Linked DNA regions of Drosophila melanogaster. The protein of the gene in region 1 interacts with the protein of each later gene in a pairwise test. Each region holds a gene or a part of one and is shown on either strand. Other genes may lie near its edges.

Region 1 (16,582 bases):
TGATTTGGTAGGTATCGTTTATAATGACTATCCCATGGAGAGCGAGGAGGATTTCAATAGGCGCAGGAGGGATCTTGATAATATATTTTTCAACTGCAGCACAAGGAAAAATCAGGTGAGTGAAGTTTTCCGAATAAATTACCAAGCCATAATTAAGTGCATAGCACATGTTTCAATCAACTTTTGCTAACCAAAAAAGCACTTATGCTGATTTATTGTAATTAGTATGTGTATGTTATTACCATGATTATGCGCTCTTATTCAAAACGTGTTTTTTTTCTGACAAATAATAATAAGTAACTGCGCAGCTATGAATATTTATATCCTGGTAATTAAATAACATTCAAGTTTTTATGTGTACTCTATATGTATCATCCTACAAACAAAAGGAACAACAATTCGAAGCCAAGCGTCCCATACTAAACTCATCGAACTACAATAAGATATTCGGAGCATCTTTGGGAGATGACATGGACTTCGAGGACTTTCCCGACCTCAACCAACCACTGCCAAATATTTCCATTCACGAGCAACTGCGTCTGGCTTCCGGGAACCGCGAGATAATCGCGAGCATTCAGCGAAATCACCAAAAGCGACTCGAAAACCTTTGGCACTCGGAACTAATAGAAAAACTAGCGCAAGAGTAAAAGCAATTCTAGTTAGAGATAGAAGTTGCTTTTGGGTTTTCCTTCAGAGATTTCTCACAAAAAATATTAAATAAAATGTATTGGTAAAGCCCTGATTACCATGTAAGTTGTTACCAAAACTAGCGTTGTTAATTGTTAACAGGTGAGTGTGCGAGGCTTAATTGCAATTTGCGCAGCGTCATTCGGATAATTAAGTGAGTTTTAACTTGTGCACACACAATTTGCTCATGTGACACATTTGATGGCAATGGCAATGTGAAACGAATGGCAATGGGGCACTTTAAATGCAAAACTCACAGTTTGCCAGGCGAGCCTGTTGAAATCATTTAACGAGCTTGCCAAATTGCCTTATGGAAAATGTTGGAAAAGCGGGCGAAGTGCGTTTCCGCAGTCGAAAGTCAGGACGTCCAGTTTGTGTCAGGATGCATTGATTTATGTCCTGCAGACGTCGAGAGCGGAGGAAAATGACATGAATCTTCATTTGTGAATTGCATTTTATATGACTGCTCTGTCTGAGATTGAGTATTTGTGCGCACATAAGCACGCTTACACTCGCGGTGCAAATAATAGTAACTGCGGTTGGGAAATGGTCGAACATATGTTAGTACATTCTGATATATAGTGGAATCTGTAATAGCACTTCTACTGTACCATTTATTATATTTTTAAGGTGCTATGAGTATAAATATTAACTGCGAGTGTGCTTCGACTCGCATACATATGTTGCAATTAGTTCATCGCCTCCTGACTCCTCACTCAGCTCCACAAAAGGCGACCCAATCCCACCTTCAGGCTCAATTAGGGCAAGTGACCAGCTTTGTGCTCGGCTTTATTTATACAAATGTGTATGCAAATGCGTGTTTTTGTGGACCACTTGGGTGGGGCACCACATGCAGTGCAGTGCATATGCAGGACGAGATTCTTGCTAATGGAATTCCCTCAGACAATCCGGCATTCATTCGACTGCAAAATTTCTTGTTTTGATATGTTTGTTGGCCTGGGCAAATGGAATTTTCCAGTTGCCAGCAGAAAGCACTTCATTTTGTAGTACACTCCCTTCTTACTCTTAAGTATTTGAGGAAGTTATCTTCTGGAAAGATGATTACTTCAAACTTCAATCAAGCTGCTGCACTGACTTATCTTCGGTTGGATTGGGCATCATTTATTTTACCACACAAAATTATAAGGTCAGATTTTAGGAAGGTTCAGCTCGGAGGCCATGCAGAAATTTCCTTGCAGTTAACTACGAAGGTAACGTCTTCATAACTTCCTGTTATTTGCTTAATGAAATTCCCCCGTCGGCAGAGCAGCCTGTGACCCCCATCCCCCGTCATCATCCGAGGCTGAGCTTCAGCTTATTGAAATGCTGAGCTTCGAGGACCTCGACCAACCAACCAACCAACCCACCAACCACCCACTCCTTGAAGCCTTCTAACCCCAATCCTCAATCCGCCCCAGGCCCACTTAAGTCAGCCCCTTTTCAGCTACAACAATGCAAATATTATTCCTTGACACCAGCTGGAGAAGAGGCGACTTCGCCAGCTGTGCTGTCACAGGAGATCCTTCGTTATGTGCTATGTGCATATATATCTATATATAGCTGGGTTGGCTTAGAGACCCTCGGCATTTCCATTCCATGGCTAATAACTTGTTGCTCCAGAACCAGAAATCCCCGATGCCTGTCATAAAGCACTTAATCAAGTTAATAAAAATTGATGGCTGGCACGCAAACAATTTGTTTTTAGATTTCCAGCGGCGGGACGAGGAGGGAAATCCTTAGCTAGTTGGATCTTATGAAATGTGTCAATTTAAAATATGCGTTTTTGGGTCGGGTCACTTAGTTTAATGGAGATAGGCAAGGATAATTTTAATTACACTAATTGCATGTGAAAGATGGATTAAGTTCAGTGCCTTTCCCTTGTTGACATTAGTTTTACCCAGGGCTTTAGATGAAAATGTTCCAACCTCGTCGCGGCTTCAGTTGCCATTTGGCATGGTTCATGCTGCAGACGACCCTCTACGCATCCTGGCTACTGGGACTGTTCCCCTTCACTTTCGATTCCCGGAGAAAGCAGTTGAAACGCTCCCGATGGCTTCTCCTCTACGGTTTCGTTCTGCATTCTCTGGCCATGTGCCTAGCCATGAGTAGCCACTTGGCATCCAAGCAGCGAAGGAAATATAATGCATTTGAGCGCAATCCGCTGTTGGAGAAAATATATATGCAATTTCAGGTTACTACATTCTTCACTATAAGCGTACTACTGCTCATGAATGTTTGGAAAAGCAACACGGTTCGGAAAATTGCCAATGAACTACTCACCCTTGAGGGCCAGGTAAAAGACCTTCTCACTCTGAAGAACTGTCCCAACTTTAACTGTTTCGTGATTAAAAAACATGTGGCTGCAATAGGTCAGTTCGTGATTTCAATTTACTTCTGCCTATGCCAAGAAAATTCGTACCCGAAGATCCTTAAGATCCTTTGCTGCCTGCCATCGGTGGGCTTGCAGCTGATTATAATGCACTTTCATACCGAAATCATTTTGGTCTACCGCTATGTGTGGCTGGTCAATGAAACCCTCGAAGATTCACACCATCTAAGCTCCTCAAGAATTCACGCACTAGCATCCTTGTACGATCGCCTGCTGAAGCTGAGTGAATTGGTGGTAGCGTGCAACGATTTGCAACTGATCCTTATGCTAATTATTTATTTAATCGGAAACACTGTGCAAATCTTTTTCCTCATTGTGCTCGGAGTAAGCATGAATAAGCGGTATATTTACTTAGTGGCTTCCCCACAATTGATCATCAATTTCTGGGACTTCTGGCTGAATATCGTGGTGTGTGATCTTGCCGGAAAGTGTGGAGACCAAACATCAAAGGTCCTGAAACTGTTCACTGATCTGGAGCACGACGATGAAGAGTTAGAGAGAAGTGTGAGTATATACTGTTGGAATTCGAGTTCAAATGAGTACTTTATATATCCTTTTTCCGACAGTTGAATGAATTCGCATGGCTGTGCACCCACCGCAAGTTTCGGTTTCAGCTGTGTGGTCTCTTTTCCATTAACCACAACATGGGCTTTCAAATGATCATCACCAGTTTTCTATACCTGGTTTACCTGCTTCAGTTTGACTTCATGAACTTGTAAAAAACAGTTCTCATTACAGCAACAAATAAAATCTTTAGGATACGCTAAAAGTCTATTCTTAAACTATTGCCGAACAATTCCCCCTTAAATTCGAGGGTAGTGTGTGTCATTATTATTTTCCTGCCAGGAGCGTGACATCCGCGACATATACTTTCCCCGATTCGTGAGTGATACGTGATTGGAAATAATTTAAGATGCTGCGATAAAGCAATTTGCGCAAATTTAAGATGAAAGAGGCGACGGACGGGGCACAGCCACAGCCAAACACACACATAAAATGGAAGCATTTTCACAACTGTCATTGAAATGTCAACATAAATCTACTGACATCCAGTGCCAGGTCCTCTTCGTCCTCTTCGTCCTGTCCTCCTTTCGCCATTTCTCCGCTTCCCTATTTCTCCGCCGCCGCTTTCCCAGCGACTTTTGCGCGCTGCGTGACGTAAATGCTGATGAATATTTCTCATCTGTTGGCTGCGGTTCTCCAGCTGAAGTGGGGCGCGCCGGAGCAGGAGGAGCTGCCTGGTGATGCGGAGCCTTCCCTGCAGTTGGGATGGTGTCCTGCCTTCCAGCTTATCGCAACACGGAAAAAAGTAAACTAATAAAGAGAAGAAGAAGCTCTTGTAAATAATTATTAAATTATCATCCTATATTGTGTCTATACCATGATTTCTATCTAGTACGCATTATTTGCTCTTATACTTTCGGAATTTTCTCCAAGTGTAGTATCATAGCTAAGCAAGAGGACGCTCTGTGACTCCCAACAGCGAAATGGACTTGTCAGTTTTGATGAACTATCTTTGGCTGCCCTGCGCTCGTCCTGTTTCGCCGCTAATGCTAATACCTCTGACAGAGATCTATGTGCGGTCTGATTCATTCGAGTCCCAGTCCCAGTCCCAGTTCCAGTACCAATCCCAACGCAATCCTAGTCCCAGTCTCAGTCGCAGACTCAGTTTCCGCCGGCTTGCAGACCTCAAGATGAGGTCACGTAGAGCTGCGTCGTCGGCCGCTTGTTTGGCTTATTAAATGCTCAGTTGTCCTGCCTCCGAATGCAGGCATTTCGGTCTCGTCCTGCCCCTGCATTTAGTATTAATCTGGCTTAAATGTGATTAATGTCTGGTCTGCGGAAAGGTTACCGCCCCATGCCACATGCCACATGCCCCGCGCCCCAGGAGTCCTGCGGTCTGACAAAGTCTGGATAAACTAAGCCCGGATCAGCAAGTGTAATCAATATTGCCATTAACATTCAGAATTCAATTAGAAGCTGTGTCTGTCCGGCCTTGGAGCATTCCCAAGATGGCTCTGATAAATTTTAATTGGTTTAGAGAAAGCTAGTTTGCGGCTGCTACTTAAAGCCATTAAGCTGTTATGTGGCACAGCATAGTGGATATTTAATTGGAGTTATTCGACAGATCCAATTGGTGTGCGATGTTATTTTACGATTAACAGGTGATGAATAACAACTACCTTTAACACCTGCCCCTTCCGACTCAAGAGCTATCTGAAGAGCTAGTCCACCGCCTTGGGTGGGGGTTTCCCTTTAGGGGTCACCCACTTCCATTGCACCTTTGATGGCGCCATAACTTGTGGCAATATCTGGTGCCCCGAGGTCGAAAGCAGCAGCATTCATTAGCTGTTTGCCGGAGCCGCTGGGTTTGCTTTAAATTTAATTGTTTGCCCGCTGCCGCTGTGCACTTTGTGGTTTAATTAAGACGGGATCGAGCGTATATGGTATATGGCATGTGGTGTACATGGATGTGGGTGGGGCAGACAGACGGCAGCTGCCTTAAACCAAATTACACTAATTGGGTTACCATATGACAGGGCAATGCGTCGACTGTGACATTTGTTTGCCATGGCTTGCCAATGCTTGCATTATGTCCGCCCGTCCACATCCTTCGCCCGCACAAACACAGCCCCCCACACGAATGTGTGGTGTACACTGAGAGAAAAAGCTCACTCAGTACGCAAATTCTTCAGAAGGGCTACCTTCCAAAAGTAAAGCCAAACTGGAGTCTCTAATCCCGTAATATTGATAGTTGTTCGGAAGTCTGAACCCCTAATTGTGCTCAGTGCATCATAAGCCCAGTCGTCAGTAAGTCCTTCACTCCACCGCCGTTTGCACTCGCAGTTGCCAGCTTGTAATAAGCTGCAGAATCATTTTCCGCATGCCGGCTGCTTTGACAGCTGCAATACCGCACATGGCTCAAAGGGTCGAAAAGCGGGCCACATGTGGTGGTATATGGTGGAAAAGGGGGAAAACGGGGCAACGGGCAAAGGATATGGGGAGTTGGAGACCGCACTCGAAATGGAAGCCAAAGGACTCTGGCTTAGTTAATTGAGTGGACAGCAAGGAGGTCTTTAAACTGAGATTGGCACGGATAAGAAGATAAGCATTATAGACTTTGTTGGCCTAATCTCACAGGTTCATTTGATTCTAAGCAGAGAAAAAAGAAAGTATTTTTTAAAAATAGTTTTAGAAACTTCTAGGCTTCGACGGCGGGTTCCATGGACAAGGACCTGCTGCTCACACTCCCGGCGGGGGTCATGATGTCCTCCAGCATTTGGTTGAGCGACTCGGAGCCCAGAGCGTACTCCTGCTTATTGGCACTTCGGTTGTGCATGGCGTCCAAGTAGACGCCACTCGCATTGCGCTCGCTGCTCAGAATGTGCTGCATGACATTGCTGATCTGTTCGGAGCCCAGGATCTTCGGTTGCTCGGTGGCCAGTCCATCGATGACCGCAGTTTCCAGCTGGCTTGAAATTTTGGCCGGCGACTCCTCCTCGTTGGCAGTTTTTAGAAAACGAATCGCCTGTGCAGAGGCCAAGGCTCCGGCCGTAAAAGAGGTCAGCAACTGAGCAATCGAAATCATTTGAAATTTGATATTTTTAAATGATTCGAAAGCGAATTTAGATCATGCTTTGAAAGTTCGTTACGATTGCTATGAATTGAGTTTAAATATTTCAAGGCTACATAAATTAGTAATTAACTCAATAGCCACCACTGATTTGGCTTACAAACTCTTTTGTTTAATATTATTTTTAAAAGCTTTAAATATTTTAAATAGATTTAGCTAGAAAATAGCTGACAGACACATATCGATATATCGCTGCGATAGCCACAGCTGTTCACGCCCGCAGTTTAAGCGATGTGGCAGCCCTGGTCGGCCACCAAAAAATAAACATTGGAATTTTCCCTTAACTTTATAGAGTTTTATCCAATTTGAGCGATGCTGCCGGGCGTTGGAGTGTTCGGAACGGGAGAGATAGCCAATGTGCTGGTGCCGCTGCTGCGGGAGAAAGGATTCGAGGTGCGGGCCATTTGGGGCAGGACCCTGAAAGAGGCGAAAGAGACTGCGACCACGCAGAATGTACAATTCCATACGAACGTAATCGACGATGTCCTGCTGCGGAAGGATGTGGATCTGGTGTTCATCGTGTGCCAGCCCTTTCTGCACGCGGAGATCTCGGTGAAGGCCTTGGGCATCGGGAAGCATGTGGTGTGCGACAAGCCAGCAGGATTGCACCAGCAGGACGCACTCAAAATGGTTCGGGCTTCTCAGTACTATCCCACTCTGATTTCCCTGGTCAATCACCCGCTGAGGTTCCTGCCCGCCTTTACACATATGCGTCGTTGTCTGCAGGAGGAGCTAATTGGCTCTATTGGCGACGTGGTACTCATGGATGTGCGCGTCCAGATGGGAACGCTCTTTCCCGAGAAGTACAACTGGATGTGCGATGCGCAAATGGGCGGCGGTGCCCTGAATCTCGTGGGATCCGTGGTGGACTTGGTCACCTTTCTGCTGCAACAGCAGGCAATAAGAGTGCATGGAGTCCTACGATCCTACACGAAAACCACACCGGCCATCAATGGCATTCGACAAATTACGGCTCCGGATTTCTGCAACTTCCAAATGGAACTGGCCAGTGGAACGCTGGTCACAGTGGCCCTGCACAGTCACACTGTGCCAGCAAAAGCCTTCTCGCAGGAAGTGCTCATCTATGGCAGCAAAGGACACCTGGTGGTCCGCGGCGGCGACCTATTTGTCCTCAAGGAGGGCCAACCCAAAGAGGAAGCTGTTTACGTGGATGTCCAGGATTTGCACTTCGCCACCAACAACTCTTTGCTACCACGACCATATATCAAAGGACTCTGCAAGATGGTGGGCGCTCTGAAGGAAGCCTTCGGCAGCAAGGAGTCCTCCTGGGTTAAGGCTCCAGTTTCCACAGCGGCCACCTTTGAGGACGGCCTCTACGTTCAGGCTGTGGTTGAGGCCATCCGGAAATCGAACGAGACCAGGCAGTGGCAAAGGGTTCAGCTGTCCACCGACAGCCCCCTGAATCACGACCAGATAATTCGATATGCACGCATGTCCACAATGTGAGGGAGTCTGTATTACATAGGTGCAATATATGAATGATTCCACTATATATTTTTTATATAATGTACGTGTTTAGTCTTTAAGCGTTCAAAAGATTCAGGCTTTCCAGCCGGCGTCATCTTCATCAATGTATTTAACTTATTTGTACGGCATCAGCATTTTGCAACTAATAAAATTGATTTGTTAGACATGAGACTTTATATTTATATTAGCTAGAAAACATTTCATGATAGTTAATAGCAAGGAACGAGAAGAAGTCATCAAATGTACCAAACGTTTTATTTTAAAAACAAAATTGTCTACACAAACTAAACGAAATATGTCATATACAAGTAATTCGAACTTAGGGCTAAAACTAAAGCTAATCACTAAAGAGACGAAACAAATTATTGATCACAAAAGTATCTTTGTAGCGGACCTTATAGAAGTAGATGAATATTCAAGACTTGGCATAGCTGGAGTCTTCGCGGAGATCCAGCTCAGTGGATGAAGTATTGTGTTTACAGGGCAAGATGGAAACGGGGTTATAGAGATTGTGTTGCAGTTGATCTTCCTTTTTGGTATATCAGCACTTAAACTGGATTTAAGCTACCCTAAAGCCTTCTTGCGTACAATATTTCAGAGAATATTTAAATAAATACCTAAGCTAACATCGAATCGGTCGATCAATTGTAAAAACACAAAAAGGGTAGTTTCGAATTTGGAACTTAAAACGAGGAGAGATGGAAAGACACCCGACTATGTACAAAAGGATTGCAGCCATGGACCAAACATTGGCCATGGTATCTTATCGCTTGTTGAGCTTGTGCCACAGCGTGATGAGGGTCAGCACATGCATGACTCCAATCACGATGCCCATGAGGATCAGGCAGTCGGACATGTGCACATCCGATATCATCATGTACTTGAGAAAGACCTTCGGGCTGCGGAAGTGGCAATACATCGCAGTCTCGGGGCACTCCAGAAAGGGTCGATCCATGCCGTAAATGGCGTTCAACGCCCCGTGGAATCCGGCCCGGAAGTAACTCAGGTGCCACATCCATCGGAAGAGGGGCGTGATGTCGATGTAGCGCGTGCAGAATCCAAAAACGGAGAACATCACCGCCAGAATGGGTCCCAGAAACACGGCAAGCTGAGGCGGAAAGATTAGTTATTACCAATTCGATTCTCAGTTAGCTGGTCGAGTGTTGAACCCACCTTGGTTGGCAACGTGGCTCCCACGAAGAAGCCCCAGGCTTGGGCACTCAAAGAGGCCATTATGCCCAGCAGCATGAAGTAGTAGATCCGGAATGAGTCCGTGGCATCGTTTCCAGTCAGATGCACGCTGATGATAATGTACATGGCGGTGCAGAGGCTCTGAAATGGGGAAACTCAAATATTAGTAAGCCGTTCGCAAAGGAAGAGATTATTAATTGGCTGATTTGCATTTGATATTAATATTGATTTGTGTGTCATTTAACATTTATGATAATATTATAATTCATTGCATTGATATGGGCCGTGATAAGTGATTAATAGTAGCTAGATTAGATAAAACCAGTATAACTCTATATGTAGAACTTGTGTGACTGGCACAATGAAATGAAAAAGCAGCCACGAGAATGTTGCCCCTAATTACCAAAAATGTTTGCCTTTCGAATCGTGAAACAGTACGGCAAACAAAAGCGTTTCTTTCATTGCCAATTTCACTACATGGCCAACACACTTATATATATATATATATATAAGTATATATAGCCCGGCATATCGGAACAATCACTGCAAAATTACAGGTAGTCGGGCTTACGCGATTCTGTCACGCAAATGAAACGCAAACTCGAACATCGCCGATTTCACATCGTTAATTTGACTTAATGACCGAGCGGCAATTCATTAGACCACTGCCACCTATGGAAGCTTAGCTCTAAATGATGATTAATGACCACCACCGACACCGTTGGGGTTGGGTTCTGATCGCCGTGGCGATCTGTAGTAGGAGCTATTCTATGGCGGTGCTCACCTGGAAGGGTATTTCGAAGGAGATCAACGAGAGGAAGTAGGGACCCAGTTTGTACCAGCGGTTGAAGTGCTCCCGTGTCAACATGTCAATTTCCAGCGGAACTGCGGACAAAATTAATTGATAAACGAGATTGCGATTAAATTCGTTAGGTTCAATGTGATGCGATGCGATGCGAAGTGTGCGCACGAAGGTGAGGGCATTATACATATGTAGGTCAGGTCAGTAAACCGAAACCGGTAAAGATCGGATACCCAGCTCCCCCAGCTCCACCAGCTCCTCCAATGCCTCCTGTCTGCAGCAATTTATTGTAAAAAGAGTCGAGAATCGCTGGCCAACCGGTTTTATTATACAATAATCGCAGCTGGTGTCTCTTGTATTTTATAATTATTTACTTAGCGGGCTTCAGGATCGCATTTTTCGGGGCGAGAAGTGCACTTTTGGCAATTTACATGGAAATTATAGATGACAAAGTGGATCGACAGAGATCTTTTATCGCTAATCAGATCTGGCCTCGCCTCGAGGGTTAATGTTCCAATCAATATATTTTAATCAAGTTTACTATGGCGTATTTGGAACGCTGATAATTTATTATTTGTGGCTATACTAGATTCTTATTCTTTGGCTAATGATCCACTATCTAAGCTCAGAATCTTGGTTCTTTTTTTTTGCCAATTAAGAACCACGAAACTTCTGTGCAAATGCCAATATATTATTGGCTAATCCGCATTCCGCGATAAATAAGTATCTTGACAAAATATCATAGAATGCGGCAGCTAAAGACAAAGCAAAGTTGCCAAAATTGCGCAAGAACAGCTGCAGTTTTTTTCTTTTGGTCAAATCTGGCGACAAATTTTTGCATAAATTGGCTATCCGAGGAAACCAGTGACTGGAAACTGGGAGAGGCCAAGTCCACTCGATAGCACTCGAGAACCACTTGGACAAATGCATTTGGGTGGTGGTTAGATGTGGGCAAGGTGAAGTGAGGCGATTATCTCGGCGATTGCAGCTACTTACATGTCAAGACCACAGCCATTTTACCGGTGTAGACCAAGAGCAGCGTGGAGCCGTACAGATACACGTAGTTTCCCAGCACACTCTGGGCATTGTTGCCCACGTTCATGTACAGATACCCGAAGACGACTCCGATGAAAATGTGCGAGAAGATGCGGGCCAGCAGCAGAAACTGAAAGAGATACGGAGTATTAGGTATGTATGTGGCACACAGGTTGATAAAGATGCAAATCAAGCAACTCAGGCAAACTGGAAATTGAGATACTTTACGTTAGCACACTTTGCTTAACTTTCTCATGCGAATGCAAAGAACTCTTTAATGTCCTTGCAAATATGCTCATTGCTAGTTTGTTGTTAGTTTTTTTGTTCACAGCTGGTTTCTTCACTCGAAGTGACACATTTATGGGCAGTTTTCTCATATGTCATGTCTATAACAGCACTAAGCTTTTAACTATCTGGCGGGAAAGTGGGTCTAAACTATGACATATTGCGTATACCATAACTTAAAAAAACGTTTTTTTTTTTTCAGGTAGCTGGTAATAAGACAAGACTCCCCAATTTAATGGCATTGACCGCAGTTGTACCTTTTGGCAACTAATAGCCAGTAAATGATCGTGCCGTGGATGTTGGTCATTAGAACCGTCTAAAGCCGAAATCTATGTGAAGGCTGAGTGCTGGCTGGCATTACTTTTGAGTTACGAGCCGCTCGAGTGGGCCCGAGATTCTCGGAGTCACCGTTTGGCCGCTTGGCCGCTTGGCCGGTTGACAAGTCAATATCAGCGGAACTGGAGGTGCTAACGAAGCTATGTTCACACTCCACTATTTGAGTGGCCGAGTGCAGTGTGTATGCAGATCCATCGCAGATTGATCGTGTGCAGTCACATAAAAGTGAGTTAGCTCGCTAAGTGGTCATCACACAAGCTGTTCAATTTCACATTCAAACATACGCCAAGTGCTAATTGGACACATTCGGATGATAAACGCCGGCCATCAATCTCGATGGCATTTCTGATTCCGCAGCTTCATATTTATTGTATTTATCTCTTTTTTATGGTAAGTGCTTGAGCCTTTTGCCCTGAGTCATTTGTTTTTACGTAGTGCCCAGTGCCAACGAACTGAAAATCGTTGTTAAGTGTAGAATATATGTTACATAGCTATGAGAAATTCAATTGCACAATTGAGTTGTGTGCATGAATTACTTACTTATGAGCCCACCACAAGTCGCTCTATTAAAAAGTAGCTTAATGCCCTGATTATATGCTTAAGCATAATGTATAAAAAAATTCAGCTAGTGCCCTATTATATTCCGCATGCATGATCTTATATCACCATTAAGAGCATGCATAAGTCCCATTTTCGTATGATTTTTTAGCAAAATCCGAAAGCGTGGCGAAGTGTTCAACCTTCCCAAAAAAAAAAACGTATAACGTATAGTACTTAATGTACGGCCACTAAATGGTAATGTGCAACTGGGCTGTAATTGCCGAGGGAAATATAAAAATAAAGTAAAAAGCGGCTATTTAAAAGATTAGCCATTAAGAATTACGCAGAAACGAGATTAGCCGAAACTGGATTCACTTTTCGAGGACGCCGCACCAATTACCAAATCAACTCGACAGGCCATCAACTCTTAAAGCCGCTGCCCTAAACCGGCTTTCAACTAATTGTTACCCAAGTTACTTTGTGCATTAAAGTTATTGCAGTCGAGTCTTAAAAAGCTAAACTTAAGATTTTTAAAAAGCTGGCAAATATATATAACAAATATATTTGCCATAATTCAAGCCTTGAACTTTGCTGGTTGAATTTAGTTCGTGATATGGAGGTTTCTACTCACGTAGTTTCGCTTGGCGCAAATCAAGATGCGCTGCATCAGGAGCACATACTGCATGAGGAACGAGGCCGATCGAATGGCATTCGGCGGCCTGGCAAGCTCACCGGCTTTGGCAAGCGGCTGTGGCTGTGGCCTCAGATTTTTCTCGAGGAGATCGGGATCCGCGCTCTCGGGGCCGCCGCTCAGTGCCTTGATCTCCTCCAGAGCCAGCTCCTGCGGCGAGGGCTTTACATAGTCGAAGCTGGAGAATTGCGCCGCCGCAAATGCTGCCAGCGCTTCACTGGTTTTTACCACTGCCTTGCCGCCCATGTTTTCTGCAATTTGGAGAAAGTTCAAGTTAGTAAGTGGCAGCTCTAGTGGGGGAAATTTCTGCACCATGCGCCAATAATTGGCAGTTTTCCTTAAAAAAAAAAAAAAAAGCTTTGCTTGTATACATGTGTATACATGTATGTTCGAAATTGCTTGACAGATTTAATAGCTAACGCATTTATAACACCGAAACTAGTAGCACACCTCCTCTACTTTAACGACTCAACTTTAAAACGTGGACAAATAAAGATCGTTATCACTGGACCGTAACAATATTCGCATAAAACTTCATTCAAACTTTTATATTTAGAATAATTTAATACCCGAAACATGACAACAGATCTGATCAGTATAGAACTCACCTTTAATGCTTTCCACGAGGCGTGCCATATCATCACTGCTCATATACCTATGGCGATCCACATCCTCGTAATACTTTTTATTGGCCGCATGGATTAGCTCATTCAGGTCACGTTGATGCTCGCCCACGGCCACTTCCAGTACTGAAATCCATACGATATGATATGTAATGTGGCATGTGGCATGAAAGTGGTGCACTTACGATAGTCAGCTGGGTTGTGGTAACTCGGGCAGACGAGCTGCTGGTCGGCCAGGAAGGGCACCAGTTCGCGCACAGGTCCTTGGTACATGCAGTGGCCATCGACGACGGTGTAGAGCTTGTCGAACATCTCGAAGATGAGGGCACTTGGCTGATGGATGGTGCAGACTATCGTGTGGCCCTGCGACGCCAGTTTCTTCAGCAGAGCCACGCAGGAGCTGCACGAGGAGCTGTCCAGGCCACTGGAATCCGAACAAACGAGCAGAAATACAACTTTCGGTGTGACTCAACTTTGTTTAATTGCTGCCTAACCTTTGAAGATCTAACGAATAACAACCCCATTAAACTAAACCGCTGTCTAACTGACAGCAAAGAACATCAAGCAACAGGGCAACTGAAACTTTAATGGTAGGTGAGAGATTGCGGCTTGAACTTGTACTTGTAGCGAAGTCAAATGAAAACGAGAAACAAGTTTGTTCCCAAAATCCATTTGCCGATGCAAGTCGGGCGGCATTGCAAAGATTTGATCGACTTGCAGTCGGCATTTTATTTGACACTTTGAAAAACGAGTTCTTTCAAGTGTTATTAACTGCCTGAAATCGAGACATACGTATTATTTGAATTACTCGTATCCATATATATCAAATTCAAGTATACACTTTGCCTAATACCCTTCTTTAAATGAATCTCACGACTTCGAGTTTACTAATTGCCAATGAATGATGAAAAGTGAGGTCTAAGAAGAAAAGCATATGATTTTAAAGCAAGTCTTAAAAATAAAGCTTGAGATATTTCTGGAACTGGCAACTCCCTTTGTTTGCGAAGTATCCAGTCATGATTTTCACTTTGAGATTGTTGTCTGAATCAACTTATACTTAGTCATGCCACATGAAAAGGAGGGACTCATACTCATAATCCCCAGCCAGACGACTCAAAATAGCTGGCCCTTTATTGCTGCATAAATCCGATTTTGTAGGTTCATATAACCACAGCAGACTCATCAATCCCTATTAAAGTAATCTACAACTAATGAACAATTTAATTAATTACGGGATTATCTGCCAGATAGCGCAGTAATTAAATGAATAATCAATAAAAAAAATTTAAATAATAAACTGTTTACAGCTCACCGAACACCACTAATCAAAACAAGTCGAAACTATTAAACAGACTATCTGGACAATTGATAAGCTCTAAGTCATATAGACATATAGATGGGGACAAACTTGACTTGTGGGTCAGTTGGTGTTTTTTTTTTTTTTGCTGAACTTCCGCCAGGCAAAGTTTGCTCATCATCGCCATGAGCATCAGAATGCTGGAGATGATCACTATCATGGCTACTCTAAATACATAAGTGTGCTTTTACAATATATAGTGTCACTCACGTCGTCGGCTCATCCAGATATAGCACGGGAGGATTACTTATCAGCTCCAGGGCGATTGCGAGTCGCTTCTTCTGGCCACCCGAAAGCTTCCCAGTGGGCACATTGTAGCGATGGTCCAGACCCAGCAGCGATAAGATGTGCTTGATCTGGGAAGGAGTGCAGAAGTATTTCGGATAAGATATCGTATCGTTGCCCTGAGATGTTCACAATCTTTTTACACTTCTGAGATGATTACTTACCAGATCCATCTTGTACGCCTTGGTGACCTTGAAGCCCAGCTTCAGATGTGCCGCCAGCAGCATTATCTCGCCGACCAACAGCTGTGGACGCAGCAGATCGTCCTGGTGGATGTAGCACAGCATTTGGCGGAACCTCTCGGAGCTGGGAGCCATGGGCTTTCTATTAACCCGGATATCGCCCGACACGCCAGTGGAGCTGCAGAAAAAGAGGCGTGGTCGAGTACCGAGTGAAAATGTGTCGAACAAAAATCACAATATATAATCGGGCGAAGCGGTTAATTTAGGTACAATAACGTACATGGGTTCAACAAGGGCTGGACTGAATGAAAAATAGCTTCAATCACAAGCGTCTAGTTCGGGGAAGTGAGTCGAGCTACATATGTGTGTATATTATGCTCATGCGCCACTTTCAAGTTCATAGTTTACTGACCGATAACGTTTAGCAATGAAAACCCGTGTACCGCCTGGGGCATCGTCTTTACCACCACGTCCATTACTAAAATCATGATAATTAAGGCAGCAGCCTGCAGTTAATAGCTCCACTGGCCAGACTCACAGTTCATCCCTCTGCACGTTCGGTGCATGTATAAATTGCTGTTTATTTACTAAAAATGCTGTAATAGCTGTCAGTTGGCCATCAAAAGAGGGCTGCGATTAAACGGCGATTTCCTGCGAGATACGTCAATTGGCGGGCTTGTGACTCAGAGAGATTGCCTCCCATTCGCGACTGAAGTCCTAATTATGCAATGGCTGAGAACTTGAACCGAGCTGCCGGAGGAAGTGATGAGATTATGTCCGGGATGGAACGGCAATCGCAAGTGCACTGCCTTCCAGACGTCAAACGAAACGCGCGATTGTGATTCATGTGTATTTCGCACATTCAGTTAGTTCAGCTATCAGTTTAGACATTTAGCGGAGTGCAGAGGAAATCTAAATGCAATTCCTACACCTTACAATCAAATGCTTTCTAAGCTGCATGGGCAGATACTAGAACTAGGTGAAATTCCACAAGACCCTTCGATCTCTAACCCAGCCATGTGAAAATTTAATTATATAGCTAGCCAAATGCAGCTGT
Region 2 (16,920 bases), on another chromosome or scaffold:
TGATCAATCGCAATATATATTTTTAACTTTAACATTCCAACGAAAATTTCCCTAAAGACTTATTGTTATGCTTAAATTGTAAATGCTTACCCTATTGTTTATTAAATATTTTTGTACACTTAGTTGTTAGTGGTATGTTTGATGTTCGGAGAAACTAAATTTATGATATGCCCCAAATCGATGATTTAAAACTCAAACGACTCAAGCGACGTGGCCAGTGGAGCTACGTTTTGATTTTAGCGTCATTTCGGTTATAATTATTTTCATTTTCACAACACAATCATCGCAAAATAATATTGTTTTTATTCGTGACGCAGAATTCCGGCTCTAACCATTGACACGAATCAATTTTATAGATATAGCTTTTAGCACGTGAAAAATTTTCAATTTTTAATCAAGGACGACCAGCGGACGAGACAATGAATTTAAAAAATTCCAAGTTTTTCAAGAGGATTCAGGAGCTGCGCCACTTCTCCAAGGAGAAAATACGGAAGGATCGCGAAAAGAGGACCCACGTTGTTCGCGCCCTGGACATGGCTCTTAATGAGCAGCCGTGCTTGGACCGGGAATGGTTCAGTCCGGAGCAATCACCGCCACTGCAGCCCATGTCCCCACGCCGCCGGATGAAGAAGACCCGGTGCCTCAAGAGGAGGACAGCCGCCGACAAGCAAGTGGATGATAACTCCCCATATTACGGACCATCTTCTGGTGAAAACAGCCCAATGCCTGCTGAGGAAGCCAAGCTGCAGGGATTCATTCAACTGAACAACAAGACCTACCGAGTGGAATGCCCCACTCGGGTGCTCAATCCTCCCATGAACGTCGACGAGGAGCGGCCAGCCAGGTGATCTTCCTTAGCTTTGGATCCTTATTGGATAACGCATCTAACATAATCCCCCAGCGAAACCAAGAGTACCATCTGCGTGTCCAACTCGCGCTACGCCATGATTGGGAAGATCTCCAAGACGCTGGGCTACAAGTTGGTTAAGGAGTCCAAGATGTGGAACATCCTCTGGTCGGATTCGTTTCCCGGCGTAGAGCTGTTCAAGAACATGAAGCGCTTCCAGCAGATCAATCACTTTCCGGGCATGATCGAGATCTGTCGCAAGGATCTGCTCTCGCGGAATCTAAATCGAATGCTAAAGATCTTTCCACAGGACTACAAGATCTTTCCCAAGACCTGGATGCTGCCGGCGGAGTAAGTAAACCCCAGCCTCACACTGAAAGTGCTAATCATTGATACCAACGATTTCAGCTATGGAGATGCCATGAACTACGCGCTCAACCACAAACGCACGTTCATCCTGAAACCGGATTCTGGTGCCCAGGGTCGTGGCATCTGGCTGACAAACGACCTGAAGACCATAGGTCCACATGAGCGCCTCATCTGCCAGACGTACATACACAGGGTAATGTATCCGCTGTTCATCCGGAATCCCATACGCTGGCTAACCATCGCATCCACTTTTCCAGCCCCTGCTCATCGATGGGTACAAGTTCGATCTGCGTGTGTACACCTTGATTACCTCCGTGGATCCCCTGCGCATCTTCGTGTACAACGAGGGATTGGCCAGATTTGCTACGAACAAGTACGTGGAGCCCACGCCCGGAAACGCCAACGATCTGTACATGCACCTGACCAACTACTCGGTGAACAAGCGGAACTCGCACTACGAACTCTGCGACAACGATGACTGCGGCAGTAAGAGGAAGCTGAGCGCAATCAACAACTGGATGCGGCGACACAACTACGATGTGGAGGAGTTCTGGAGCAATGTGGACGACGTGATCATCAAGACGGTGCTGAGTGCGTGGCCAGTGTTGAAGCACAACTACCATGCCTGCTTTCCGGGTCACGACAAGATCCAGGCCTGTTTCGAGATCCTCGGCTTCGACATCCTGGTGGACTGGAAGCTAAAGCCGTACATCCTCGAGGTGAACCACTCGCCCAGCTTCCATACCAACGAGCAGGTGGACAGGGAGGTAAAGCGGCCGCTGATCCGGGACACCTTGAACTTGGTCAGCACGGTGCTGGCGGACAAGAGGCAGATTCTCAAGGAGGATCGCAAGCGGGTCAAGCAGCGGCTGCTCAAGATCAGGGGAGACCCGTAAGTGTCTCATCATCATGTCAGCATCATCATCATTGGTAACCCACATATATATTTCCAGACCCGTACAACGTCCGCGTCTTGGTGGCGGCACCTCCAAGCCCAAAATCGATGCCCAGAAGGGCAGTCCGGATGCCCAACCCGTTGATGTTGAACCCGAAGCTGAGGACCATGGTCCACTGGCCCAGCAAATCGCCTGGGAGGAGAGTCATTTGGGCAATTTCAGGAAGATAATGCCGCCACCAGACTTGAGCAAGCTGGACTACTACACTCGCTTCTATGCCCAGTCGCACCAGGTGTCCATCTTTGCGGAGACGGCGGCCAGTAAAAAGCGAGAGGATCTCGCGCGCAAGATGCGCATCCAGCTCGAGGAGAAGAAGGCCAAGCAGCAGCAGATGCTGAACGGGAAGGCCAAGCGGGATGCTAGGAAACGACACACCGTATTGCTGCCGCGGGCTGTGCGCGAGAAGAACCGTATTAACTTCTTCCGGCTGAGGGAGAACTGGTCGCCGGGCTTCATATCGGACGCGGAGGAGCGACTGCGCCACACCTGGCTGCACATGCGGGCGGAGGCGATACGAACGCTCAAGATCACCGAGAATGTAAGTCGGTTCACTTCCAAAAAAAAAGATACATTTATATTTAAAGGAGATATTCGTCCACAGATCTACAGCAATCTCTACGAAACTGGACTCCTGACCAACACGGACATGGTCGTCTATCCGCATCTCTATCACAACTTGCAGCACGGCTACGACATCAAACGTACTCCATAGTCAGTCATTTCGCCCAACTCCAGCCACACAGACTACTTACACACATCCACGATGTGTTATTCAAATTCGTTATTTAAATTTAAATTGCTGCTCGTCACAAAAAATGTAATAAAATTCTTTCGAATCTTTAAAATAAATATTTGTTTAAATATTCAGCGATTAACACATTTTATGGAATTTTTAGTTGGTATACCTTTAATTTAAGATTCACATTAAAATTTACTCGATTCATAACAATTTGGATACTCTCCTGCTTGGATTGGAATCGCATCTGGCGGACTTGCATCTATATCGTGTATATTTGGCTGGCTGCCCGGCACACAAGCATCGTAAACATTTGCCCCAATCGGATGGCGAGAGCTCCGCCATCGCGGAGATCGAGAATCTGGCATTCCGAGAGCAGTTCGCCGATTCCATTGAGATGGAGAGCAGCGAGTTCAGTCGGTCGAAGGAGCACGCCCCGGGCAGTCGCCAATTAAATTGGGGGAAACTATTTGGAATCTTTTAAAAAAATCGATTGATATTCGAATTGGAGAAAATATCAGCGGCATGTTCAAAGTGTCACAGGAGATGCGTCTGAACACGCAGGCCGCCTCCTCCGCCTCCGCCTGCAGTTCGAGTGGGAGTGGCCTGGAGGGCAATAGTCCGGAGGAGGGCGGTATTTTTGGACGCTACCAGCGAACGCCCGATGCGGGTGAGTAGCGTCGATGAGGAAGTAAACATCGAACCGGCTATTTATACACTACGAATCTCGCGCCCCCCAACTCTTTAGATGCCTATCCCTCGGAATCGCCGCGCGTCTATGTGGCACCCGAGCTGACCGACGCCGGCAAGGTGCAGCTGCTCCACTTTCCCAGCGGCGCGGTGCGAGTGAACAGCCCGCTGGGATTCATCATCAAGCGGAACGGGGTCAAGGGAAACTTCGAGGTGCGCGTCGAAGGTCCCAGTGGTCAGCCCATTCAGCCCGTTCGGCAACAGCAGTTGGATCCGGAGCGCTTTCAGATCGATTGCCAGCTGGACGCCGGAGCGGGTCTCTACAAGGTGCACATCAAGTGCAATTCCGTGACCCTGCCTCGCTCTCCTTTCATCATCGTGGCCATCGCAGGAGCTACCGAGTCCATCGATGGCAAGCCCGCCAGTTCTTCAGGTAGGATATGTCAAAAAAAAGTGCACGAAAGCTGTGATAATCAATTGGCATCTTGTGTGCTTTAGTGCCCATCTCGGACTCGGATGCCAGCCGAGTACAGAGCCGTGGCCTGGGCCTCACCCATGTCAGCTTGGTGGAGCGCAACGAGTTCACCGTGGACTGCGGCCAGGCGGGTAGCAACATGCTCCTGGTGGGCGTACTGGGGCAACGCGGTCCCTGCGAGGAGGTGGTGGTCAGGCACCTGGGACGCGGCATACACAGGGTCACCTACCGCGTGTGCGATCCCGGTGACTACATCCTGGTGGTCAAGTGGGGGGAGCAGCATGTACCCGGATCCCCGTTCAGCTTAAGTGCGGATTAGCCGTAGAAAGTAAATGTGCCTGCATAAATCAGCTGACCTTGATGGGGCGCTACTGCCACCCATCTGCCTCACTTCTCAATGGAATCCTGCGCAGCTTCTCCGGGCGATTTCGCCCCACCTAATGATGATTGCCGATGATAGCGTTATGGGTGCTCCTTGCTGCTCTTTTCCCGCCACTAATGACGTTCGCATTTGGGAGCTGATGCTCTCGGCGCCTCACAACCTAATGATGATGACCGGCGAATATGGAGAATGTGGGTAAGCTGAGTATGAGGGGGCAAATATGTAGTAGTAATGCGTACACTTGAGGTTAGTGCAATAGTCACAAGTTTGGAAAATAGTGAAATATACTTAAGTAAAAGTAATAATACATTTTAAACACTAGCATGCATTTACCATTAAAAATATATTTTAGCTAATGATTCATTAAAATAAATTCACTAAAATAACAGTTATATAAGAGAGGTGCCATCTTAAAATTATATTAAAAATGTTGCACAATAAATTAAGATAAGTATTGTACTATACATATAATAGTTTAATATGATTTGATTTTAAGGGTAACTATTAAGCTGACCATTATTGTTTATAGAAATGATAAAAGGTGGGGGCTGCACGATGATGTTGTAGCTATTAAAATGTCAAGTTCTTGAAGATGATGACATATTCATTTTGTATTCCTAAACAATCTGTACTTAGTAACAAAAGAAAAAGATACATATTTGCAATATAGAAATTTGTAAACACTGAAGAACATAATTGTTTATAATAATATATTTAGGGAGAATGAAAATAGATTGATATTCAACTAAAACCTATTTGAAAGTAAAAATATGTGTCAATAACTAGAAATTTACGTAATATATTTTTCAAAATACAAATAAACAACATTAGTTTGTATGTCTATTATTAATTATCTCAAAGTTTACTATTTATATAGTTGGCTAGGTTCGTAGATTTTTGAATATTTGGTGACCTTGTTATTGGGATTTCGCTTCCCCCAATTTCTTCTTCCTCTGCCTTGCCCCACCCCCATCGCCTATCGCCCCGCCCCGCCAGCACTTTTTCATCGAGACGATGTGCAATTTAATGATGATTACCCCACAAGCAAAGCCAACTGACGACGACTTTGTGGCAGCAGCGACATTATCATTTTTTGTTATTTAGCCCGCTAATGACGTTTGCTTTTGTTGTTGTTGTTGTTGCTCCATCGCACAACCTAATGATGATGATGATGACCGGCACATACGTGTCGGTGTGACTGTGCCAGTGTGTGTGTGCATTATGCTCCAAGAAAAGCGATTTGTTGAAGGGAGGCGGGAGTAGGTGGTGGTGATGATGATGATGAGCGATGAAATGCGCTTGCTTTGTTGCGCCCTAACGAGCCGAGATTGAAGTAAAAGTACTGTATTGAGCACGATAAATGGCAGATGACTTGGTTCTATTGGCCTAAAGCCGCAATAAACATTTTCAATTTCCCACCTTTTGGCGCTGTTCGAAACCCCAACGCACTGCACTGGCGACTGTCTGGCAACGCCATGTCACACTAGCCGCACCGCTCACACCATGTTGCTCTTGCCATGCCATGCTGTCTCGCTCACGCCGAGAACATCATTATAGAGTCGAATTGCGAGAGCTGCGCAGCGTAGGAGCTACAAACTACGTTTTTCGTGTGTTTCCCTCTTGAAGATAATTAAAATTTAATTATTTGACTTATTATTAAGTTTTGTGCCCACGCTGTTGGCGTCGTAGTGTTGTTGTTTCGCCCGTTGTTGCATGGAGCAAAGCGAAAAACGTAACAATAGAACGCAATCAACGCAAGAAAATCGGATGTGGATGCGATGTGAGTGTGTGTATCTCTGAAATGGGAAAAGTGTGTGCGTGTGTGTATTCGAGAAAAGTAACCTCTCACCCCCCGCGAACTTACATATATGTACATTGGCTCCAATGCTGCTATCCCGCAGCCGCCGTCGCCGTCGACGTCGGCGGAGCATCTTCATCCGCATCTGAGCCCAACTCCCTTCTACACTTGAGTTACCGCTTCACTTCGATTCCAAACGTCGCCGCATCCACTTCTCATCTTCTGCTGCTGCCGCAGCTGCTGCATGCATATCGCAACTTGTTTCGCTCGCACAATTAATATTTGTTTACCGTTTACCGTTCGATTTGCATTGCATGCGTGTGTGTTTGTGCGGGAGCGGCTGAGCTGCGTCGGTGTGTGTGAGCCGGCTTAATGATAATTGAAAGCTAGAAAATAGACAAAGTACACCGACTAGTAAATACCCTTTAGTGCCAGAAAATGGGTTGTTAGCCAATGGGATTACGGTACAAACAACACGGAAGCGACAATAACCCATTTTAAAATCATTGGATGCCAAATTTAAAACAGTTCCTATAACATTTTGTTTCCTGTGATAAGAATTGTTAAAAATACTTGCGTTTTAAAAGTTTAAGCTGAAATTAATTAGTGAATATAAATAGAACTTCAAATTGTGCATAATTATATCGTATAGTAATTAATACCCATGACAACTAGGGAATGAGTCCTTCTAGGAGCTTAAAAATACATAAATATTTCTATGAATCCAAACTCTGCTGCAATATAATAGAATTTTATGTGTATTACAACATTATACCCTTTAATTGCCGCGAGAACTAAGTTAACTATGAAATGCAATCATTCGTAACCCTTTTTGTGGGAAGGTATTAGGCTACAAAAGATTAATTACCATTTCAATTCAATTAAATAGTCATCAAATAGGTGGCTGACCATATGTTCGGTTGTTTATTTACGTGTGGTGTGCACTTTTTAAGAAATCCCTGAAACTCATAGGGATTGCAATATTAATACGTCTAACAATACAAATAGTAAACAACGACACCTGCACGTTAACTAATCATTTGATTTATTTCAGGAGCGAATCCGTGTACAGTATGCCAGCCCACTAGATAAACCGCTTCATGTCCTCCATCAGCTGGCAGACGAAGATTGTCGGGCAATCCCATTTGTCGGCAGTAAGACCCATGTGAAATGCCTGTAAGTTGTCTTTGGAATCAGTAGCTTTATCATCAATATAATCGTATACCTATTCGCAGTATGAAAAATTCAACAAAAAGCGCCGACAATGGGAGGATAGTGGTGTTCTAGAGCTGATCAAACTATGGAAAGTCTGCGCCTATGAGCTGCGCACCATTAAACGCAATGGCCATCTGTATGTGGCAATGGCCAAGCAGCTAACCTCGCTGGGCGTCCCTGTTACCGCACTCGAGGTTCACTTTAAAGTCAACAATCTAACGCAGCGCTACCGGCAGGAGCAGAAGACCTTTGAGACCACAGGCATCATCAGCACCTGGAAGTTCTACAGTCAAGTGGATGATGTGTTTAAGAGTCTGGCCGCACACACCGGTTACAAGTTGGTTGAGATATGATAGATACTTCCCATATAGCAATCCCAAACTAACAAAATATCTTATTATTTTCCAGAGACAAACGCATGACAAGTGCGTCCAATACGAGCAGCTTACCATCCACATCCGAGTCACCAGTTTGGAAGAATCCAATGTCTCAGCAAGAGTTTAATAGTAACAACACGGAGGGGTTCTATAAGTAAGCACTAGCATTGGAACACCTTCCTCACAACATGTTTAAATAACAATTGGGATTTGCAGGACCGAGTACGGGATGCATCGGCACTTTATGGACCACTCCCAGCCACCACCCAATGCCGGCAGCGTGGACAACTTCATGGCCTCATCGGCGGCCGTGGCGGCGGTGGCTGCCGCTGCCTCAGCCCGCCTGGCGGATAACAACATGGATCAGCAAATGAACACGGCTGCCGGTGGAAGCGGTGGCAGTGGTGGTGGTGGGGGCAACACCAATGGAGGCGTGGCCAACTACCAGAAGATCAAGAAGTCGCACGAGGACTACGACAAGTTCGTGGACATTGTGAAGAACATCGTGGACACGCACAAGAGCACTCCCGATAAGGTGGACACGTTCGGCGACTTCATCAAATCGTACATGAAGCGCTGGCCGGAGCGGCTGCAGGACGAGGCCATCAACCACATCACCAACTATGTGATCGTGAAGAACATGGAGCACAGCATGGTCAGCAGCCACAATCCCGAGGGGGTGAACAACCGACAATAACAATACAAGCAGGAGCCCAACAACTGAACGAGTTGTTGGACGACGCAGCTCCAGGAACCAGGCACAGAAGCCGAACGAAGTGAGACGTTAGGCGAGGATTACTTAAGGTGGCGCGCAGTTACTTAACCGCATCTGAGTTGCGGCCAAGTTCATTGGACACACACACGGCATACAGTATTTTTTGTATAGTTAAAATATACATTGGAGTTTTAGTTCTCGACGATCGCGCCCTCGATACAGAGTTGACTTCCGTAAAGAGGGGGCTGGATCGATCAATCGTGCATAGAGATCCTAGGGAGTACATTACATTTAGACACCATTTCCTACTGTTAGCTGTAAACTATTATGCATAAATTAATAAATGCTTTAACGATTATTTATGATTGGTAGTAAGAATGCACTATTGACACGTAGTCTTAGGAAAATTGTACACTTTACAATTTAAATAGATATTCAAATTACTTCTTGCTTCTCTTGCAGATCTTGAGTTTACCTAGTGTCCGTCTGCCTCCGCTAGGTTTTCCTTCGTGTAATCCAAAACACGACGCTTCATACGACAGATGTATTGGCTATGCATGAGGTACATTTTGAGGAATCCCTTGATCGCTATGAAAGTCAATCCCCCAAGAAGAGTTTGTTGCAATCTATCGTCGACAGAGCTGTAAAGAACTCTACCCACGTACATGGATATGGTGGGCAAGAGGATGGCTCCACAGACCACCCGCGATGCTGAATATTCGGTCATTGGCGCAGAAGGGTATGGTTCGGTCTGGTGGTCATATTTCCGTCCTAGGCACATCATTGAAAGACTTCGCAGCAATGAATAACATATTCTAATGAAGCGCAACAGGGCATCTTCCCAGGGAATTAAGCGTCCAAGTATCAGAACTACCGAGATTAATGGGAATCCGACCAGAACAACCAACAGGTCTCCCGATTGAATTATTTGATGAACGTGACCTTCCTGACCAGTGATCTGCAAATATGTTTTTGCTCCGAATGAAACCGCTGACCAATAGGCAAAGACCACCGTGAAGACATTGGCCAGGCAATTATATAAGTTTGTTAGGATAAGATCGTTGGTCAGCTCCAAAGCCCTATCGAAAATCCAGAGATTCGGGTATGCAATGGTGTACTCCGTTTGGCATTGTGGACAGGAAACGGCTTGCAGATTGTTGTTTATTCGGGTCTTCTCGTCGATCCAGAGGGAAATGCAGCTCTGGTGCACCCACTTATTGGTTCCTCGGCAGAGACATGGATTCACCCAAGCCTGGCGACCTGCCTCCTTATCGGTCTCAAAACAGATCCAGCAACAGCGCTCCAGTTCCGTCGAATCTCCTCCAGCTGAAGCTTGTGGCGCAGCAACGTTGCTAGCCATTATTGATCTTGTTGTATATAAAACTTGAGTCTGAGAAAACTCCAGGGCATATGTTTACAAATAATACAATACCTACTTTGGCCCAAAATAACTAATGCTAGTTGTTTGTTGTTGAATGTATTTTGTGAAAAGTTATGACAAAGTAGTGTGTTCATTATATTAACTAATAATATTGTACTGATCTATTTCCCACTATCCTTTCCTTATCATCATCACAAAGTGGTCAGGTTAGATGCGTTGGACTTGACACGCCACACTGTTGAACATGTTGGCCGCCTTTCCCGGCACCGAAGGCGCCACCAGGAATCGGGCGAAAGTTCCACCCTTCTTGTCCGCGACACGGCCGGGATTGATCACCAGGCAGTCGTTGACCAAGCGGATGAAATGCCGCTGATCGCTGGGCAAGATGAGCACATTTGGTAGCTGTTTGAGCTGTGCATATTTCAACGCCAGCTGGGAATCGTAGGCCATGTCTTCGTCCGCCGGCGGATACAAAGGATAGAAGGAGCCCTGGTGGAACAAGTGGTTGATGGCCCTGTGCATCCGCTCGCCGGCATTCACAGCAAACTCGTGACTCAACAGGTGGTCCACCACGTCGGTTGAGGTAACGCCCAGCGTAAAGCCATCCAAGTCCACCAGAGATGGATCGGGCAGCATGTATAGATTTGGATAGGTTCTGCGCAGAGCGGGCGGCGGCGTTGGATATACGGAAAGAGCCATGGCATCCTTCTGACTGGTCACCACCAGCACTGCTGTGTGACTACCAATCGACTCCATTATTCCCCCAATCATCTTCTCGAAGAATGTATCGAAGGTCTCGGCCAGTTCGCCGACCATCTTGTGATCGGCATCCAGGAATGGTCCCGTGAGCACCAGCACGTCAGGTCTGTGATCCTTGAGGTACTTGAGCAGGTCGTGCAGCGGTTCGTAGAAGAGATCCGTACTGTCCGTAAAGGGTCCGGAGGCCACCACAAACTGAAGCTCCCTGTCTATTTGCAGTGGCGTTGCTGGCGTCAGTTTGCGCTCTGTGTGTATCTCCTCTACCATGAAGGTTTTGCCCCTGGGTATGAACCCTTTGGCGAGCACCACTTGACCTGGGAATATGCTGGCAGACTTGACCCTGGAGAAGTTGAGCGTGAGCGTTGGGTCCATTTCATCTTCTACATCGTCATCTAAAACGGCCATAAATGCGGAGTGGGCGTCCAGTGGGCCATCGTCCTCGGAATGAATCATTCCCACCGCGTGGAGTCCACCTGCGGACTGCAATACCTGCCTATCCTGCGGATACCAAATGCACTCGGCTGCGCCTGCTTGTCCAAGTTTCTTGTCCACTAGTGCCGGACCGGTTTGGTTGAAGCGGACGCGCAGGTTGTGACATCGGTCGGTCAGCAGGTCGTTCATGTAGCCCAAATTTGCGATGGTCAGCGGGGCGTCGTTGTGCAGCAGTTTTTGAGTCACCGGAACCGTGTGCTCCATTTGTGACTGCCAGCTGGAGCCAGCCAGGAGTTTGGGATGTCCGAAGGTGTCAACTATATCGCCCGGCTTGCCGGCCACTGAGTTGGATGGTGTTTCTAAACCTGCTTTCCTCTTTGCCGATTGGGGTGTATAGCTGGCGGGGCTAAAGAGTGCGGCGCCCTTGAGATTGGCGGTCCGATCCGACTGCTTCTTGGCCTTGGGCGTGTGCAGAGCGGAGGAGTCCACTGCCGATTCGCTGACATAGTCATCCAGCATGGGATCGTCCTCCATGACGCCATAGGTGGCCAGTGAGCTCGTATCCTGTACAGAGGGCGAACCATATGATTTCGCCTTCTGGCCAGTTGCCTTGTATCCCGCCTTGTCCTTCCGCAGCTGCAACACCTTGCGCTCAAAGTCGCCCAGATTCTCGATCGCAGGATCCTCGCCTTGGAGGTGCGACAAACTGAAGGCCATCCACTGCTCCACGAACTCGGTGGCGTCGTGGATGTTGTAGGTAATGGCCAGCTCCGCACACCTGCCCAGAACTGCGTCCGCTGGCTCCACGCCCATCTCGTCGAACTGCTGCTTCAATTCCTCCTCCATTCGTTGTCCTTTCGTTGGGCGTTTAATTTTCGTAAATAAACCTAGCAATTTATTTTGGCGGTAAAAGTGGGCACAGTGTTGCCACCCTATGATGCTTTTAACACCTGCTTGAGTTTTCTTATCGATAAGCATAGTCAGTTCAATAACATAACAGCTCCCATCGAGCTGCGATAACCGTGATCTGTAACCAGTGATTGTTATCGCCCATCCCCAATCGCAGTGCAACAGCTGTTTTAATTTTGTATTGACAAACTTTTTTGTTTACCCGCGTTCAAGCGCAAAACAAGCGAAATTAGCGGCTGTAATCGCGTCATTTTGATTCATGTGACTCCGCACAGTGTCCTGATAATCGCCGCGAAGCAAGTGATTCGCCATGAGCACGGACGATCTGCTGGTGCGCCGCGAAAGGAGTGAAGACTCCCAATCCTCGAGTGTCTCCATTCCGGTTACGCCCACCACCGGAGGTGCCGCGCCTGCGCCCAGCGCCCCCACGTCATCGCTGGACCGCCTGCGGAACACCTTCCGGCGCACGGAGAGCATCTCCTCGCAGATCTTCAGCCACATATCCACACAGTTCTCGAATGCGGCCGCAGCAGCCGCCTCTTCCGAGGTAATCGATGGCACCACCACGTACCCGTATCCCGACGAGCCCGCACCACCTGTTGTACCTGTTGCGCCGGACACGGTGGCGAGCGCCAGTGCTTCATCCCCGTCGCCATCGAAACTGAAAGCAAAGCGACTGAAACGCGGTGAGTCCGAATTATTATTCATTCGATGATAAGCAGCAATGGAAACCAAATTTCCATTGTGCGCTAATAATAATATGTTAAGTAATAATGTTGCATATATAAAATATATTATATATAATATATATAAATATATACACATATATATTTAATATAACAATTTAGGTACTCAAAACTATTCTAAAATGTATTTATTAATTAGTATTAGCAATTTCGTGGGCTGTGCGAAACTGTCGTTGAAATATTTCGGTACTTGTATAAATAATATGATTAAAAATAACTTAAAAGTGCATTGGGAAAGTGTCAAAGGTGATTTGCGCACCACACACAGCGTGACCATCGAGAACACCCCCAACGAAAGCTCGCGAGGAGCTTGCGAGCTTGGCGCACTGGACAAATCAATAGGATAAAGAACTTTTTGCCAGTCTTACTCAACGCGTACACAACAGGATAACGGTGCAAAATCAAAGCGGCGAGAACTTTCGGTTATTTTGTTAATTTCAGAAGTAAAACCCTCTGGAAAAGAGGTTTACAAAAGGAAAAAACCCCTCTAAGGTAATGAAAAAACAGTTGAGGGAAAGCGGCAGCAAAGGAAACTCGGAACTTATTGAACAGCTAATATCGATATATGTATATATCTGTATTTTTATGGACGCCCACGCACACACACACACTACTCAGGCGTACTTTGAAGCAGCAGCGAAATGCGTGGACTTGTCGAGGATACAAAAAGGACCAAGTTGTCGTCGGCGAACAACAACAACCTCAGCAGCACCAGCGGCAGCGGTCGCATCAAGTCGAGCAGCCTTGCAACAGGATCAAGTGCCAGCGGCAGCAGCTCGAAGCCCTTGAGAAGTGCAGTGAAAACGCCAACATCGGGCAGCGCGACGTCATTGTCGTCAGGAACAATGGCTGCCAAGAAGGCGCCTCAAACGGGGCAACAACAAGTAGGCAAGTCTGCAAAGTCCGCCACGGCAGCAACTCCAACTGGCACAACAGCAACAGCAATTGGAGCAACGGCAACAACAAGGGCGCAAGCAGCAGCGGCGAAGAGCCAAAAGGGTCAGAATCCACCCTCACAACAAGTGCAGCCGAAACAGCAGCCGCCACAACCGCAACAGACACAGCAGCAACCCCTGGTGTTGCAGCAACAACAGGCGAGCAACAGCAGCAATACGATTGCCTTGCCAAAGGCATCGCATGCCAACACCAGCGAGGAGCTAGCCGGCGGTGTCCAGGACACCATTTACCTGTGCAATTTCCGGGTATCCGTCGATGGCGAGTGGCTGTGCCTCAAGGAGCTGCAGGACATTGATGTGGCCGGCGGAACGGGCAACCAGGCAGCTCAGACCAGTGAGAAACTGGCAGGCGGCAGTAGTTCCCAAACGGGCGGCTTCGGGTCCAACTACAATGTGGGCTCCAGCTCCAGCAAGCGCAACAGCAAACGCTTCTCCGGACTGTCCACCGGCAGTGGAAGTGGCGGCAACGCCGGTGGAGGAGGCGGCTTGGACATCACCGACAATGGTATTATGGCAATTGAAAACCTTATCGGCCGCCGGCTGTGCGACATGGTCAATAGTGGCTCCTCGGCACTCGGCCAGTCCCAGTCGCACTCCCAGTCGCAGCACCAGAGTGTTGGCCTCTTCGCCGAGTGGTCGCATCTCTGTAGGTCGCTTCTTGTTGCCTCTGTTGCCAAGCACGCTCCTACTTTGTAGTTTCTCTTCATTTCTCGTTAGATTGCAAGGGCCATACAAATCCGAAGAACTCGAAGAGTCAAGTCATCATATTCTATAGGCTTCAGACTTTTCTACGTTATTAGTTTTCTTAAAATATTGTTTTTTATTAACATTTTTATCTTTCTTCGTAAGATATTGGCATTTGTTTATTGTGTAGACATTAGCTTTTATAGAAGACGACAGATTCTTATCAAGCACGAAAGTCTTTAAAATGTGTGAATGGCTAGATCTATGTTCTCGATTTTATTGGCCCTTGTAATCTTCCATCTTGTTGCATGCCTCTTTGCATTGTTGCACATTTAGTTGCTTGCTCTTAGTTAAAAGTTAAGTGATTTACCTAGGAAATACCCTAAGGATTAGGATTTCAATTAGGCAGTTAAAACTCCCATTTTAAAACTTCATTTTCCTTTCAATGGAGAAATGGAAAAGTTAAAAATCATAGGGTTTATTAACTTATCAAAAAATATACACTTAAGAAATAGGAAGGTTAAAAAACGAAAAAGGGTTAAAAAATTGCCAACTAGTTATCGTCAAAAGTCGTTTCCCAGCTGGGAGAGTCCTTTAAATACTGAAAAACCGTCAAGATCATTATTTTGGCATATAACATTTTGCACATCCCACTCACCTCTGCACCGCCCTTCTGTCGACCGGCAGGGACATCTGGTTTCTCCTGCGACTTCTTCCTGTGCAGAAGAGGATCATCGGATGTATCCTTGTACATTTCCGGTGTTGCTTTTAAGATGGCAGCATCAGAGGATTAAGTGAATGAATCGATTAGGCTTAAGAAATGACCAGTCATGCACTTACCTATCCTCACTTGTTTGGACAATCGCCTTTCTGGTGATGGCTGCTTTTTGTCTTCTGAGGATTTGGTCTGCTGGTGACTCTGAGTTCAGGATATCAAAAGCACGCGAAGCACTGATAACTTACCTCTTTCTTACGACCCGTCTCAAAGTCCTTATGCTTCTTCCGCCTGTCTTCTTCGCGGGCATGCCTATGTCGATGTCTATCCTCTCTGCTGTCCACTTCGCTGTCCGACGAGGGAATGACGGATAGGGTCGACTTTAGAGCGGGCTTACAAACGTCCCTGTAGGGAACTCGGCTAGGAGACGAATCATCGGAAAGAAGTTTGAGGGATGTGACCTGCTTTCCCACCGCATCTCGGCTCTTGTCCGGTGCGTAGTAGTCCCCTCCTTTCGCTCGGGAGAACTTCAGTGGCATGCACTTCCTGTTGAACTGACATCCCAGCGACGAAGATGAGGTGAAGGAATCTAGCTCGGGATTATTCGCATATCCTATAAACTCGAGCAGTTAGATTTAGTTGATTTAGTTGCCACAAACTTATTTGACTTACGATTGCTCGGCACCGATCTTTGTGAGGTGGAGCGACCAGAACCGGAGTAGTAGTACCGCCGAGTAGCATCACTTTCGTCCTTTTCATCTTTTTTTTCTTTTTCCTTCTCTGGTTCTTTGGCTTTCAGCGGCTCCTTTTCTTTTCTTGGCCTCTCTTTCGGCGGAGGAGCCTCTGCATCCGTTGGGGCAACCCTCTTCTTCCTGCCCCTTCGCATGCAACAGCAAATGATGAGCAGAATGAGGAGCAGAAGCAGGGTCAGAAAGGCGGCAATGCACCAGATCAGTGTCTCATCGTTGTCGCACTCGCGGCACTCTTCCACTTCCTCCGGCCGACTCTGAACCTTATCCAATCCGGTAAGCCATTCGTCCTGGTGCATTGGCTCCGGCCCCGACTCCTCGACTGGCCCTGAAGCCTCCTGCCAGTGAATAGCGGAGCGACTCATCTTGCGGGAGTCCTCTTTGGGACAGGATGGTGATCCCTGCCCGTCATTCTTATTGGTTGGCGCCCGGGCCTCCTCCTCCGCATTCTTCGCTTCTTTCGACAGCCTCTCCTGAATCTGCAGAATACCGCCCAGACCCGGGTAGAATACATCATCGCCATAGTGCATTTCCAGATTTTCCTTTATCCAGGCGAGCAACTGGCGATTGTAATTAGCCTGGCTAATGCCCTGAAACCGATGACAGTTGGTTAGGGTTTGGAAGAACTTCACCACGACAAATTCCGATTTGGGAGAACGCAGATTGTAGATGCGTCGCTTTCGAAAGGGCAAGTATATGTTGCCCATATAGCCATTCTCATCGAGCGTCTCCAGTCGAGGCAGGCTCACAATCATGCTCCCTTGATCCGGCTCTTGGGAAATGCATGTTTGATCCAGTTGAGCACAGCTGGAGGCATCCTCCTGGGAATAGCAGCTCTTGGGCAGCTTGACGGGTTCGATCTTTCGTACCTTGAACTGCGACAATATATCCTTGTCCGGAGCTCGCCACCCATTTCCGTTCGTATTGAGCGTCGTTTTGCACTGCTGATAAATGTTCACCAAGCGCTCCACGGTGTTCAGCTTGATGCGTCCGGCATAGAAGGATAACTGGGCCATGGGCACCAGATAG

The links.
Region 2: the proteins of CG17712 (region 1) and CG5984 interact in a two-hybrid assay, tested with the Drosophila melanogaster proteins (one large-scale study listed by BioGRID).

Annotation. Positions count from the first base shown.
Region 1 is NT_033779.5:1,742,466-1,759,047, reverse strand, and holds CG17712 (uncharacterized protein), read left to right. Parts: upstream 1-6,925; 5' UTR 6,926-7,022; coding exon 7,023-8,177; 3' UTR 8,178-8,361; downstream 8,362-16,582. Other genes in the region: CG17650 (uncharacterized protein), read left to right, coding at 1-115, 390-647; Gr22f (gustatory receptor 22f), read left to right, coding at 2,597-3,580, 3,643-3,795; CG17648 (uncharacterized protein), read right to left, coding at 6,279-6,665; CG17646 (uncharacterized protein), read right to left, coding at 8,962-9,306, 9,372-9,530, 10,174-10,274, 11,188-11,356, 13,019-13,329, 13,687-13,827, 13,887-14,125, 15,269-15,414 and 1 more.
Region 2 is NT_033777.3:27,234,332-27,251,251, reverse strand, and holds CG5984 (uncharacterized protein), read left to right. Parts: upstream 1-3,259; 5' UTR 3,260-3,433; coding exon 3,434-3,578; intron 3,579-3,656; coding exon 3,657-4,031; intron 4,032-4,096; coding exon 4,097-4,392; 3' UTR 4,393-4,849; downstream 4,850-16,920. Other genes in the region: TTLL6B (tubulin tyrosine ligase-like 6B), read left to right, coding at 420-844, 902-1,198, 1,256-1,409, 1,474-2,108, 2,170-2,710, 2,774-2,884; CG18766 (uncharacterized protein), read left to right, coding at 7,424-7,429, 7,489-7,805, 7,877-7,999, 8,062-8,542; CG17991 (uncharacterized protein), read right to left, coding at 9,036-9,920; PolA2 (DNA polymerase alpha subunit 2), read right to left, coding at 10,149-11,978; CG31068 (uncharacterized protein), read right to left, coding at 14,981-15,028, 15,086-15,192, 15,268-15,337, 15,391-15,755, 15,815-16,920; CG31064 (uncharacterized protein), read left to right, coding at 13,429-14,248.